Notamacropus eugenii: one gene and its partner. The protein of the gene in region 1 purifies or fractionates together with the protein of each later gene. This does not show direct contact. Links are inferred from orthologs where the notes say so. Each region holds a gene or a part of one and is shown on either strand. Other genes may lie near its edges.

Region 1 (7,404 bases):
TAGTGACTTGCCCAAGGTCACACAGCTAGGAAGTCTCTGAGGCCAGATTTGAACTCATAAAAATGAGTCTTCCTGATTCCACACCTGGTACTCTATCCAATGCACCACCTAACTGCCAGAGAGAGAACACAGCCCCTACAGATTGCCGTTTTTTTCCCCCTACAGATTTCTAAGAACCAGGCAACAACCCTTAGTTCTAAGGAAAAAGTAATCTGAACCAGAAAATAGGTATGAATATATGAATATGTATGGATGTGTGGGGGGGGTGAAGGGTGGAGAGTAACGTCACAGTCCAGGCTGCAGGGAAAAGCAGGGATTCCACACTTCCTGACTCCCAGTCCCCTCCTCCCTTCCATAGCCCTTGCTGGAGGCATTTGGGGATTCTCAGAGAACGTGGGAGCACAGAATGTCCAAGCTCCAAGGAACCTTGGGAATCACCTCCTTGTCTGAGGCTATAATTTTACAGAAAAGGAAACTGAGACCCTCAGGAGGAACAGGACTTGTTCAAGGTCACTCAGCTTGGAAGGGGCAGGGCTAGACACCACACTGGCAGCCAGGGTTAGAATATATCCAGGGATTCTAGTTACCAAGGCAACAGGAGCAGGAGTGGGAGGACTCCTGGGGGGAAGGGAGAGAAATGCCCCACCCCCCACCTCCCCACCCCCACACCCCACCCCAGCTCACCAAGGGGCCCCTTCTGCAGCCACATTCGTACTCTTGGCCCAGCTCTGATCAGGAAGGGAGAAAAAGGCTGGGGATTGGGCATAAGGAGGACCCTGTGCCAGCCCATCTTGAGTGGGACAGCTGGGTTGGCAGATGGAGGCAGGAAGAGTAGAGCCCTCCTCCCTTCCCACACACAGATTTTGGGAAGATAACAGGGAACTTTAAAGGGCCAGTGCCCAAAGTCACAGAGTCTCCAAGCTGGAAAGGGCCTAATAGAATGTCAGACCACCAGGGTCCTTAGACAGGGAAGGAAACTAAGACCTGGAGACAAGAGAGTTGCCAGTACTCACAGCCTGTCAGGGACAGAGTAGGCATTGAGAGGTGGGTCCTCCACCATGCAGTCCACAGCTTAGGGAGTCACAGATCCATGGAAAATTGTAGGCCCTAGCCATTCTCCCACCCCAGGGGAAAGGAGAAGATGATTAGATGAGGCCAGGCACCAGGACACCTGGGTCTCAAAGCCAGCTGGGTCCCTGGGATGCCAGACTTGGGGTTTTGGGGCACAGTTCCCACCCCAATTAAGCAGACTTCCTCATGGGGATGAAAATTCAAAGGTTGTGAAAATACCCCTTTCAGCTGATAGCAGGAGAAGTTAGAAAGTGTTAACACCGAAGGGGAAAGAGCCTGGGACAAGCATTTCTAGGCCTCACACTAGCTGTGTGACCTCAGCCTTCTACCTCTGGGCCTCAGTTTCCCTATCTGTAAGGTGGGGTAACAACTGGTTCTTTGAGGGGCAGAGAGGGGAAGTGCTTCGTAAACTTTTCTGTAGAAATGGGGGCTATAACTATTATTAATCCCATGATGTCATCATAGACTGGAGCCAGGTCATTCCAACACAGGCAGCCTTTAGCTGAAAACAATTCTCTTTTCTAGTGGAAAGCCCTGTGATGCAAGAGGCCAGTCTTCTATGCCCTTGGCCTTGGACAGCAAACCTACAGTCTGTTGATTGGTGGGGAGTTCTCTAGAGGCACCATGGTGCTGGGTGGCTCAGTGCCAGCCTGAGAGCTCTCCCTTCTCCCCATATGCCAGGCCAGCTCAGCAGAGCTCCCTCAGAAGAGACTCCAGGGTTACCCCGAGGCCACCAGGAGGCAGTATAAGCAATCATCAAAATAAGGTTTTCCTTTGCCTAACCGCTGTTCTCCCCGTCTCTTCCCCCTCCCCCCGCAAAGTTACAAAGTGGAAAATGAGACTCATTGAATTGAAGGAGTTGCCCAAGGTCACATAGCAGCCGAGCACCTTTCACTGACGTCCAATTCAGGGTCCCCTCCATCAGGTTCCACCTGCCTCTGTTTCTCACTCTGAGCCCTCAGATCCTGGGGAGGGGGAGAGGGGACTCTGTCTTTGGCAGAGCCGGGGTCCTGCAAAGACGTGAGTGGGGTGTGGCACCTTCTGCCCAACACAAACACATCCCCACGGTGGCTCCTCGGAGCCCGGCTCCTTACCCTAGCGCAGGGGGCATTGGGGAATGGGAGGTTGCCAGGGTCCGGGAAAGAGGAGACGGCTGGGGAGATTCGTCACCACCGCCGCAGTGGCTTCTCTAGAGCCCTGTCTTTGGTGAAAGGTGTGGGGGTCGTCCGATAAGAGATGGGACGGAAAGAGTCCGAGAACCCTTCTTTTTTCAATACCTTCTTTGCACAGAAGAGACCGGGTCCCACTGAGGGAAGGGTCTTGTCCAGGGTCCTGCAGCCTGCTGACAGTTGGCATTACAGCCCGGGCCAAGGCAGCGACGGTGTTTGGTCCCTGTGCTGGATGGGGGGGTGGGGGTTGTCTGGGGTGTAAGGTATGCCCCAACATTGCTCACGGAAAAAGAAAACAAACCTGGCCTTTTACCCTGGAACCAGACGACCGAGGGAAAAAGCCCCGGAAGGTCCTTTCCCCAGCTCTGGGAGTGGAGGCTGAACCAGACTTAGGCTTCCAGTCTCCCAAAGCCCCATCCATCTCTGGGGTCAGCTCACGCCTAGCCAGGCTTTAACCCTGTGGGCAGGAGCTTTATTGAACCCTTCGGCGCGGAGAGACCGCCTGGGCACGGAGACTGGCGGGGGCCGGGGGGGCCCAAGGGAGGGACTCACTCACCAACTCCAGCCTTAGCGCCGTGACCTTGTCGCCCAGACCCAGGCCGCGGCCGGCTTCTGGCGTCCTTCGGGGAGGCTGCAGCAGCGCGGAGACGGGCTCTCCCTCGCCCCGCAAGCTGCGGAGCAGCCCCTCGGGAGTCTTCCGGCCCACCTTGCCCTCTACTTCCCGCAGGTCGGGCGCCGAGCACTCCGGGGTCCCCTCCATGAGGGGGCATGAGGGGCCCAGGATGCTTCGCTTCCCCCGCCCCCCTGCCCCTACGGGGCGGGGCCGCCCGGACGTCTAGCTCCCACCCTTCTCCTGGCTCTTCCCCCGACGCAGAGTGGAGCTTCAGATTCCGGAGTTTCAGATCTCGGAACCCGATGAGGTCCGGAGCGGGGCGGAGCCTGAGCTGGAGGCCGGGGACGACCTGGACTCCAGATTCCCCCCCTTTCCTCTGCGATCAGCCGAACCCCGCAGAATCTAGCTTGGAACTAACTGCAAGCCCGGGCTGGGGGCGGACCCGACAGCGCCGCAAATATCAGGGCAGAGCCCGGCCTCCTGCGCAGCTACTTTAGAGGCCAGATGCTCTTTTCCCGCGCTACCCAGACAGCAGACCCGGGTTCTAGTCTCCTAGCCACTGAGGCTTCCCGGCTGGATGGTGTGCCATCGACTCCTCTCCAGAGCTCACCTTCTCCATCTGTAAATGATGGGCGGAAGTACGGATAACGTGCTGATCTTGGAGTTGGGAGAGAGACCTGGGTCTCGGACAGGAGGCTGTGGGACCCTGGGCAAATCCCTTCTCAGTGTCCTCACAACTCAGGCAACGTTATTATCCCCATTTTACAGTTGGGGAAACTGAGGCAAACAGCCGTTAAGTGACTTGTCCAGGGTCACACAGCTAAGTCTGAGGCCAAATTGGAACTCAGGTTTTCCTGACTCCACTTTCATCATTATAGCTGCCTCAATGAGGCTAACAATAATTGGGGTACCTCCAGCTCACTGGGTTGTCAAAGTGAGGCTCTGAGGAGAAAAATAATTGGAAGGAAAAACAGAAAAGGAAAGACATATCTATGTCAGTATAAAGGTCTACTATTGGTAACAGGCAGGGCATGTACTAGAGAACCTCTGTTTGTTCTAGTTCTAACTTTCTCTGTTCTAAGGTCCCTCCCAGCTCTGATATTCCTTGTTCTACAGCCCCAACCACCTCTGACATTCCCTGTTCTAGGATCCCTTCAAGCTCTGACCTCTGTTCTCTGTTCCAAGCCCACCTCTGCTATTCTCTCCTCTCCCCATCACCAGTTCTGACACTGTTTTCTAAGGACCTTCCTAAATCTGTCTTATGTTCTCAGTTCTACCTCTTTATGTTTCTTTCAACTATAGCACTCTCTGTTCCATGTTCTAAGATCTCTTCCAGCTTTCATATTCTCAGTTCTATGTCCCAAAGGTCCAAAAATCTAGGTGGAAGATTCCACAAGCCTCTGATTCCAAGCCTGGGGTTCTGGCATCCTCATGGGCTGAGTCCTCTGTTCTTAAGTACTGAATAGTCTAACCTTCTCAGAAACAGATTTGAACATTTCGAAAATCTGAGTCTATATTAGGAAAAATCCAAGATTCCTCAGTTTGTGTTTCAGCCTAGAAACTCCCTTCCCTCCCTCCTCCTCCCAAGAGCAAGGCTAGAGACCTTGGGGGATTCTGAACTTGATTCCAAGGGGCCTCTGGATGTAAAGAACCCAGATTGATAATCTCCCTGCCCCCAAACCCTATTCCCCACCCCCTCCTGTCCCTGTTTTCTCTCCCTAAAAATTAATTGGCCCTAGGGAAGGGAGTAGCTAGGCAACAGCCTAGAGGGGGTGGAGAAGGGAGTGGTAAGTGTGGCATCCTCTTCCTTCTTCCTCCTCCTCTTTATCATCTACAATATTAATATATACCCCCTGGATTCCTGTATCCTATATTAGACCTTGGGGACATTAACTGGGCAAGGACCCAAACCCTTCCCCCTAAAGCCATGGGGATCTAAAAATAATGAGGAAAGTACCACCAAATCTGGAATCTAGCGTTCCATCTGCCATTGACTGCTGTGTGTGTGGCCTGGGCTAAGTCACTTTAGTTCTCTGGACTATCTTTTAAATAAGAATAACCGTCCTTGAGGCTGTGGTGAGAGCACAGTGAGGGAAGGGGTCATACCCTTCTACGTCTCTCCAGATAACAGTCCTCTTTCTCAAGTCACGCGGACCCTGGATAGTTCAGGCCCTCATCACCTCTTGCCTGGTCAAATAACAATAACATCCACAAAGCACATATTTTATTATCTAGTGAGTCCTCACAATTACCTTATGACCACACGCTTCTATTATTTGTGTCTCCATTTTATGGGTAAGGAAACAGAGGTTAAGTGACTCCTCCAAGGTCACACAGCAAATGTCTGAGATGGGATTTGAACTCAAGTATTTCTGGCTGCAGGTCTATGAACCCTACCCACAACTTTACGCTGCGTCACTTACTCAAGCCTTCCATTTGTTTTCCCATTGCAATGTTCTTCCCCTTCTCCAATCCATTCATGAGCAGACATCATTTTGTAAAACTCTTACAGGTTACTGCCAATCTTGGTGCTTGCAAAGGCCTTTCCAAAAACCTTTCCAATTTAAAAAAAAAAGGAAGGAAGGAAAATCCAGTAAGTCCTTTTCCCCTCCTCCCCCCGGGCTCCTCCCTACCAGCTTCTAGAACCCATGGGTGCTTGGGGCCAACTGGAAGTCACCCCCTCACTTTCTGATGAGAAGCCAAACTGAGTAAAAAGCTTTAGGGGGGCACCAATGTGAGGTTAAATGAATTTTTAAAAAAAAGTTTCAGAATTTTATAAAATGATGCCAGCTTGTTAAAATTGTGTAACCCTGGATTTAAATATATATATACAAATATATGTATATTTGGCATTCTGTGCTTGACAAATACCAATTAAAATTAACATTCTGTAGGCACAGAAGATTGTATATGAAACAATGAATCTCTATAACAAATTGATGACTTCATAAGAAATTCCTATCATGGGATGCTGCTGATGCTGTCTTGCTGGTCTGGGATGCCCTCTGGACCTCCTCCTGGGCTTTTCTGGGTTTTAACCTGCTTTGGTGCCTCCTCCCCTTTCTTTCTTTCCTTCTTTTTTTACATCACTATAGCTTAAGCCTCTCCTTTCCACCCCCTTAAAAAGAGAGAGAGAGAGAATCCTAGGAGCAAAACAAATTCCCACATGGGAAAACGAAATCTCCTGCATCTGAAGTCCATGGGGGTGGGCAGTAAGTGGGGCTCTGGTTTTTCACCTTTCTACCTCAGCACCCCAATAAGTGGCATCTCCAGAGTTTGGAGGGCATGGCACCTACACTGGCATCTCCCCAGTGAGGTGGTGAAGTATTCTTGGTATTACCTCCATTTTATAGATGATGGAAGAAAGACTCAGAGAGGAACAGGGATTTGTCCGACCTACTCTGAGTAGGATTCGAACCCAGGACTTCCCTGACTCCAAGGCTGCCCCCGCTGCCCTCCTGTTCCTACTTGGAGTCCTTAAAGCCCGCTTTGAAGACCCGCTCCATCCACGTGCTCTTTAGGGGGCTTTGGCCAAGTCGCTCTCGGTCCCTGGGCCTCCCACGTGCTCCCCTCTCAAGTACAGGGAGCTAAGACACTGCGGGTGACCTTGACTTGGTTCCCTTTCCCGCCCCGGGAAGCCCAGGGTTCTCCCAGGAATCCCTGTCTCTGGACGTGTAAAGGGGGAGGGGGCTGGACGGTTCTAACTCTTGGGGTGTCACGGACCCCACGGGCAGGGCCCTTGGTGAAGAGTGGGGGACCCTGGCTCGAATCAGGCATCTAAAAGCGGACAGTTACGGCCCTTTGGTTACCATGGACACCAAGGCTGCGGAAGCAGGCCTCCCAAGCTTTAGAAAGCGCAGTTCAGGGGGGCCGCTGAGGCCCCCACGCCCGAGGACGATGCGCCTGCCCGGGGTGCCGGCCTCGGAACTTCTCCCTCCCCACGCTCGCCTCCTGGAACCTCGGTCTGCTAGTCCTCCAGATCCCCGCCTCCCCAGGGGGCTCCGGGGGCGGGGCCGGGGCCCTCACGGCTCCTCGGGGCTCCTCCCCCTCCGCCTCTTCTCCCGCCCCTCCCGCTCCGCGGCCCTTTAAGCCCCTCCCTCCTCCGGCCTCTGACCCAGCGGAGACCGGAAGCTACGGGCCGGGCCGGGGCGGGGCGGGGCGGGGAGGGGTCGGGAGGCAGCATGGAGGAGGCGGCTCGCTGCGGGCCCACCCGCTGCCGCTGCTGCCCGCCCTGAGCCTGCCGGGGCTGCGCTAGGCGCGCTCCGCGGCGCCCCCTGACGGCCGTGAGTGCGTGAGGCGGGCGGGGGCGGGGGCCGGAGCTGGGGGGCGATCGCGGGGGCGGGGGTGGGGGCCGGGAGCTGGAAGGGGGGGACGTTCAGGGCGCGAGGGGCCCCCCTGCTGGGCCAGGCTGTGCCGCCTGGGAGGGGAGTGCTGCGCCCCTCCAGGCTCCCCCTCCCATGCCGCCAGGTGTGCAATGACTGGGGCTCCGAGCAGCCCCTAGTGAGGAGCCCGGGCCCGGCCGCTCCGGGCATGGACGAGTGGAAGCCCGGC
Region 2 (7,701 bases), on another chromosome or scaffold:
TGGAAAAGTGTGAAGTTCTTTGGAATGAAGATGCTACATAAATCCAAAATGTTTTACTATACTTTGTCCCTAACGATAACTTATACAAAGTTACATAATTACATGAAGACCCCTACTATAATGTATAATGATTATACCATTAAGAGTTAAAATTTACCAATTTCAGTATCACACATTTAACAGTTTTGTTTTCCTATTCAAGTCCACTTACAATTTACAGTGACGAGTCACAAATGAGCTACAGAGAGCTGGAACCTAAATTATTTGTCAGTTCAACTGCACAATGAATACCAATATAAAAGTTACCCAATCTTAAGAATGACGACCATACAGCTATCAGGTTGCTCATTCTACTAAACCTAACAGATCAATTCTATATCATCCAACAACTGATGCCTTACTCTCATCCCTTAACTTGTAATCTTGTCCTGGCCTTTCAAAATCAAGTGGTTGATAAAGGAAGAATGGAAGCCACAGTATTTAGAAAATAAGTAAATATAAAGCCTCAAACCATCCCTTTTAAAAGCAGATGTAACATTGGTTAATAATTCAATTGTACATTGTACTATTGACCCTGAAAAGGGGATCAAAGGAAATGAAACCAATTCGTTAATATCGCATGTAACAAAGAATGGTGGCACCCAAAGAAATTGAACAGAACCAGCAACTTTTTCAGTGCATCATTTTCTCGTTGATTTTCCGTGATCTTAACATTTTACCAAGGAGAAGAAAAATTGTCTCAAAATAATTCAACATTTAAAAAAAAAATTTGGTTACCCAAAAGTGGGTTTGTTTTTTTTCAATGTAGCATAAATAGCTTAAGTCTTTAATCAAGAATACAATAATTCACATTTACTGAGTTCCAATGATTATAAATACTTGGCAGAACCTAATCAGTGATATCTGAAATAAGAAGACAAGTATTGAGAACCTATGAGATTTTCACAAGGTACTGACCTAAAGAATGTGGAACTTAAAATAAGGTGCAATCTAAATCTGTAATTCCATGATTTGGGATATTTTTACTCTGCCTTCCTACTGCTTTGTATGGAAGAACACCAAAGCCCTTACACTAGGTAATCTACAGGGATAAGAATGGAGTTTGAGAACTCCCAGATGAAGAAATTCCCTCTGTCAATGCAGGTTAGTACCTTCTCTTAGAGTTGCCTAGAACAGAAAGGTGATTTGCCCAGGGTCAGCAGACAGTATCAAAGGACAAAACTCAAACCTGGGTCCTCCTCCCTGGAGTTCAGTACTATGCCCACTACACCAGGCTGCCTTTTAGGTAGAAAAGGGTTTAATCACCTAACATGCAAAGTTCTACCTACTATTTCACAAGAACTGCTTTTTTAAAGTTTTTTTTAATTTGTTCAGACTTTTCTCCTAATAGATCTTTAGAGATATTTATTCAAGCATCATTTGGAGGACTGCCTAAAGCACGATGAGCCTCTACCAACAGGAAAGGGAGAAAAAGTCTATTGTCCCACAGTTTGGATTTCCGGCTACCTCCAAATAATATCATCACAAACACATCGCCATCACGTTGAAAATAATCTCATCGGCAAAGATATTAGTGGACATAAAAATGCAACACCTCTGGAGTTGGTATTGGAAAGACAACACTGAAAAATCATCTGAACAGTGGTCATGGAGGTGTCCCTAGCCTTTGACAGATCAACAGATGCTAGGCCCCAAGTAACAGGAAATTGGGAAGGGAGGAGTGGGACAGAAACCAGAAGTGGATAATAGGGTAGAAGGGCAAAGTCTAGGTCTACCTTCTACCTTCCCCTCCCTTCCACACATTCCTCTCCCCCTCTCTCAGCACTTAATGTGTGTTACACATCCTAGAATGCAGCTTATGGACTCCTCTCATGGGCAGTGCACCAGAGACCAAGGGTTAAGTTTGGCTGCCAAAGGGGTGGGGGTGGTGAGGAGCGGATATCCCAGCGAGCTCGGCAGGATATGATATCCTAGGGGCTGATCTAGGAAGCTGTACATAGTGAGTGCTATTAGGGGAATCAGGGACATGGCAGGAGATGCAGCCCTCCAAGAGGGAACGGGGGAAAGAGAGTGAAGGCCAAGGAGGTCTGGAGTGGATCGGGAGCAGAGAATTAAAAGGAAAAAATGGGGATCTAAGGTGCAAGATAAGAGGCAGGAGAGTGGGAAAAAGGGGGCAAAGAGAAGGAAGGAAGGAGGGAAAGAAGGAAAGAGGAAGGGAGGGAGGGAGGAAAGAAGGAAGGGAGGGAGGGAGGAAGGAAGGGAGGGAGGAAGAAAGGGAAGGAAGAAGGGAGGGAAGAGGGGGGGAAGGAAGGAGGGAGGGAAGAAGGGAGGGAGGAAGGAAGGAAGAGAGGAAGGGAGGAAGGAAGAGAAGGAGGAAGGAAGGGAGGAAGGAAGGAAGGGAGGAAGGAAAGGAGGGAACGAGGAAGGGAGGAAGGGAAGGAGGGAGGGAGGGAAGGAGGGAGGACGGAAGGAGGTGGAGGAGGGAGGCCCGGGGGAGGAAGGGGACGCCAGGACAAGCGCACAAGGGGAGGGCGCGGCGCGGGGGGGCCGCTCGCACTCACCCCACTCGAGGAACTCGGCCACATACTTGTCCCTGCGCAGGGCCGACTGGCTGCACTCGGTGTAGAGGCAGATGAGCACGTCCAGCAGGGCCTCCACGCTCAGCGAGCTCTCGTTGCGCCACGGCCCGTCCAGGAGCAGCTGCTCCAGCTTCTTGAGCCGCACCTTGGCCGACATGATGCCCGCACGCCCTCGCTCGCTCAGGACGCGGCGCGCGGGGCGGCCTCGGCTCCGCCGCCTGCAAGGCCGGCCAGGCGGAGGCCGCCGCTATCCGCGGCCCGGAGTTAGGGCGAGCCCCCCGGCGATGGAGGGACTGGGCAGCGAGGAGTCCCGGAGCGGGCAACGGCGCGGGGGCGGCGGCGGCCGCTCCCGACTAAGCCGACATCTTCCGGGGCTCCTCCCGAGAAGCGAAGGGTTTGGGGCCCCTGGCCCCTCGGGGCCATGAGCCGGCGCCCTCCCCCAGGCCGCCCCTTGCCCAGCTCAGCCGCGACGCTCCTCACGCACACACACAAGCACACACACAACCAACCCCGCGCCCTCAGCGCGCGCAGCCGCCGTCTCTCCCACGCACGCGCACCCCGCCCGGCCTCCGGCCTCCGGTGGCGGTGGGTTCCGGAGATTCGGGCGATGCGTCCCCGTCCGTCCGTCCGCCCGCCCGCCAGTCGCCTCAGCACCCGAAGCTGCCCGCCTCCTTCCCCGCCCCCCCTTCACCCTGAGCCGGGTGCGTGAGCCAGGCCGGATCGCGGCGCAAGCTCCCAGCCAGCCTGCCAGCCGACCAATCCCGGGGCCGGCCGCCGCCCCCCTCCTCCCCGCCCCGCCCCGCCCGGCCCCTCCCGGCCCCTCCGCGACGCTGACCTCACCGCGCAATTCCTCCCCTCCCTACTTTTCCTCCCTCTGCTCCCGTCCTTTTTCGCCTTTGCGCACCCAGGACGGGGTCTTCGCCGCTTGCCGTAGGCCGGGAGACAGGGAAGGGAGGGGGGAAGGGAGAGGAAGGAGGGTGGGCGAGGCTCCCTGGACTTTCCTGCCCGGAGCTCCGCTCTTCCCACCCCCATCCCAGCCCCCCCATTCCCCTCCACCCCGCGTGCCCGCTGTCGGCTCCCGGGCGTGGCGGTGGTGGAAGTGGGCTGGGGCGCGCACGGGACTCCCCTGGGCTAGGTCCGTGATTGCGCTGACCGCGCGTGGGAGCCGAGGAAACGGGAGGAGGGCGGCGGCCCCGGCCCCGCCGCTCGGCCTGGCTCGGCCACCCCGCAGTCCCCCCTCCGTCCTTGAATGGTGCTTGACGGGCGCGAACGAATTCCCGGGAGGGCTCCGGCAGAGGGGCCCCGAGCGGGAAGGGCCCGTCGTGGGCGCTGGGGGACACCCAGGCTTGTAGGGGACAGGGGGCGAGGGACGAGCTATAAAATGCCCCCCCCGGGGCGCGTCCTGTGTCCGGGTGCGGCGGGCCAGCGTGGCCCCCGCTATCGGAGCGGCGCGGAGGGCAGGGCAGCGCCGCTGGCTCCCGATAAGTGGGCACATTCCTCCTCTGGGCGAGTCCGGGGTCACCTGCAGGCCGGCGGCTCCCTAGGGACGACCTCTGGGTCCGCCCTGGAAGCCCGCCGGACTCAGGACTGTTGGGTGTAGGACAGGCCTTCGGTGCCCGGAGACGATCCAGGCCGTGACAAAGTCATTGTACCGCCGTGTAGGGAGAGGGAGGGCGGGGGTACACATGTAGCATGTAATGTGTGTCTATGTAACTGGTTATGTACGGACACAAAATGCACGGTGTGTGTATGTATGTACGTGCATACATACATTCCACCATGGAGACGTGAATATGTGTGTATTAAATGCACGTATGTGTGTATGCACACATCACATGCGCACACAGAAGCATCCTTTCACTATGGAGATGAGGTGAGTGTGTACATATATATAAAACATACATACGTACACAGGGTCATTGTCCTCCATGGGTAGGTGGGTTTGCATACACATACAAATATATATACTTTTTTACAACTATTGTGTGTATTGTGTGTGTGTGTGTACATATTACAACTGTAGTATAGATACGGATTGTTGATTTTGTATTGGGAGAGAACCAAGTGACATCACCTTACACTGAGTCAGCGTACAGTGTGTCCAGCTGTGGCTGATCAAACTGATAGAAGCTCTGAAGACTCTGCCACAGGTAGGGCACAGCCAGCCCCTATCAGCATTACATGCACCTACCCCCATGGTGTAACAGTGATTCTGCTTGTGTGTACATGTATATATGTTCACACATGTATAGCAACTGTAGTGTTTATATAATATACAAACACATACCTCCATGGTAGAGCAATGATTCTGTCCAAATCCCATCTACACACGTGTATTTTTCTTCTAGGCATTCAAATTCAACAAACATTTTGTTTTGCTCTGTACTGTGTAGAGAGCACTGGAAAGTTTGCATTTGACTAAGACCTTTCCATCATTGACCTCACGGTGTAATAGGAGCAGTGTAACAAGCACATAAGTAAGAATATGGAAGTAATATGTGGTAAGTGCTTGAACCAAAGAAATAAAGTTCTCTGAGTCCCAAAAAGGAAAAGGCCTTTATTTAAGTTGTTTTGTGACCCATCCTTCTGAAATACCAAGGAAATGTTAGGGAGTTTGGTTGGGCTGATTCTGGGGAGAAATAGACTGTAGTCTAAGTAAAGTGGTAGACTAGGAGTCACTGGTACATTAGATGGAATCTAATAAAATGAAATATTTTAGAATAAATGTATGCTTTGGTTAAAAAAAATCAATTTCATAAGTACACTATGGAGAAAGACATGGTTAGCTAGCAATGATGAAAAATCTAGAGGTTTTAATGGACAGCACACTCAGTAGGTGTCAGCAGTGTGGTGCAACATCCAAGAAAGCTTAAGCAGTCTTAGTCTATGTTGACAGAGTCATAGCTTCCAAGAATAAAGATCCCTCTACACCAAGGTCAGATCACATTTGGAGTATTATCTTTAAGGACATTGATCAGTCATGAAAGGCATTGGGTTCTTGTCATGTAAGAATTAGTTGAAATAACTGGGGTTATGTAGCTTGGAGAATAGAAGGCTAAAGAAGGACAGAGCTGTCAAGTATTTGAAGGGTTGTCCTGTGGAAGAGGGATTAGATGTATTATTCTCTTTGGTCTCAAAGGAAAAGAACCAAGAAGAGTGGGCAGAAGCTGAAAAGGGGAAAATTTACGTTTTTTATTAGGAAAAAACTTCCTAATAATTAGAGCTGTCCAGAAAGGCATTGGGCTTTCTCTGGAGTCTTAAAACGGAGGTTGACTCACCTACCTCTCTGATACATTTTCATGGGTATGTGTTGGACTTCAAGTGTGCGTTGGATTCAGTGGCATGGATCTTAACCCTAGAATTGTGTGATTCTGGTCCTCACCAGTCCTAGTGACAGTACCAAGCAGAGTATTTGTAAAGCATGTGTTACAAAAAGGAAGTAACATTTAATATCAGATTGCATACAATCTAATAATCATTGCAAACTATTTGATTACAAATTCCTTGAGAGCTAAGAATGTCTTTAATCATCGCTGATACCTGGCACAGACATATCATAGTCAGCATTTAAATGTATGTTGAAAGACCTAAAGATACCACCTACACAATAAAAATAACAGCATTTATATAGAGCTTTGCCAAGTACTTTGCATATATTATCTCTTATCCTCACAGCTACCGTGTAGATTAAGTGCTATTGTTATCCCTATTTTACTGATGGGGAAACAGACTAACAAAGGTTAAATGATTTGCCTTGGCTCACAGGGCTATTATGTGTCTGAGGCTAGTTCTAAACCCAGATGTTTCTGACTCCAGGTCCAGTGTTTCATCAGCTACACCACCTAATATCTACCCAACTCTTCTCTTCCCACTGAATACCCTATTTACACCTACATAGACTATTTCAGGAACTCCTGAATAGGTGTTCCTATTTCCACTCCCCTCCAATTCACTCTTCATACAATCACATTCTTTATGTGTAGATTTATTGTGTCACTCATCTGTTCAAAAAATGCCAGTGTCTTCTTTCTACAAAATAAAGTTGAAAATTTGCTCCCATTCAAGGTCCTCTAAAATTTGTCACCACCCTATTCTTCCAAGCCTTAATTCATGGTATTCCTTTCCACCCACTCCACTTAACCTTCAACTGCTGAATGGGTCTTGCCTCAAACAAACTGAGACCTGGGAAAGACCTTGGCCAAGGTCTCCCACAGCATCAGGGACCCTCACCAATCATCCTCATCTAGGTCTTGCCACTGGACTTGGATGACTCCAGAGGAGAGAGTGGGGCTGAGGGCTTTGCACAGAGCTGCAAGTCAAGACCTCCCCCTCCTAATGTCATTGGTTCACTTCAAGAATGAAGGACAAACAACTTCACACAAACTATACTATTCCTTGCTCTCTAGAAAACATGAAGCAGCAGCCCATCTTTATGTTTCTTTGTCTCTTCCGTTACCAGTGCTTGGCATGTGCACCTCTCTTGTATTGAATTCCTACTCTTCCTTTAAAAACTGACTCAGATTTTACCCCTGAAGCCAGAGCTGTAACTAGGGCAGTGTGATGAGAGCTTTTCACCTAGGTGCTGCAATTGACAGTATTTAAACAATTGCTGTTTTTCAGGAGTATTAAAACAACCAGCACCTAGTTAGCAAGAAAAATAAAATAGTAATCCACCAGTTGGTGCTTCTCCCCCCAGGATGGCTTCATCCGATTAAATGTCTTTACCTCCCCCATAGTAACTTCTCTAGCAGCCACCTCTTACCACTTTGGGGAGCTACTGTGACTTCCACATCTTGCCCAGGGAGTGTTTTGTGCAGCCAGCCCCAAGTGCCAGAATTGATTGTTGCTTTCCATGACCACACTCATTCTCCCCTCCCACATAAGTGATAATAAACTTTGTTTAGCATCTAACATCTTTATGCTGCATTATTGTGTACTGTAGTTATGTAAATGTGTTATTCCCCCACTAAACCAAAAACTCCTACAGAACCAAGACCATTTATATCTCTCCCCATGCCTAGTGTAGGCTGTATACAAAGTGGGTGCTTAGTAGATGTTAATTCAGTTGAATTTATTTTTTTAAAGTACTAAATTTGAGGCAGTGTAATATAGTAAAAGTAGA

What was found.
Region 2: the proteins of LURAP1 (region 1) and CDC42BPB purify together in Homo sapiens (co-immunoprecipitation; 3 studies listed by BioGRID and IntAct, with this or other methods). This does not show direct contact. The link is inferred for Notamacropus eugenii from reciprocal best matches to the Homo sapiens genes LURAP1 and CDC42BPB.

Annotation. Positions count from the first base shown.
Region 1 is NC_092873.1:507,293,813-507,301,216, reverse strand, and holds the start of LURAP1 (leucine rich adaptor protein 1), read right to left. Parts: upstream 3,133-7,404; 5' UTR 3,001-3,132; coding exon 2,797-3,000; intron 1-2,796. Other genes in the region: POMGNT1 (protein O-linked-mannose beta-1,2-N-acetylglucosaminyltransferase 1), read left to right, coding at 7,384-7,404. UniProt on the Homo sapiens protein: Acts as an activator of the canonical NF-kappa-B pathway and drive the production of pro-inflammatory cytokines. Promotes the antigen (Ag)-presenting and priming function of dendritic cells via the canonical NF-kappa-B pathway.
Region 2 is NC_092872.1:350,271,411-350,279,111, reverse strand, and holds the start of CDC42BPB (serine/threonine-protein kinase MRCK beta), read right to left. Parts: upstream 3,080-7,701; 5' UTR 2,737-3,079; coding exon 2,562-2,736; intron 1-2,561. UniProt on the Homo sapiens protein: Serine/threonine-protein kinase which is an important downstream effector of CDC42 and plays a role in the regulation of cytoskeleton reorganization and cell migration. Regulates actin cytoskeletal reorganization via phosphorylation of PPP1R12C and MYL9/MLC2.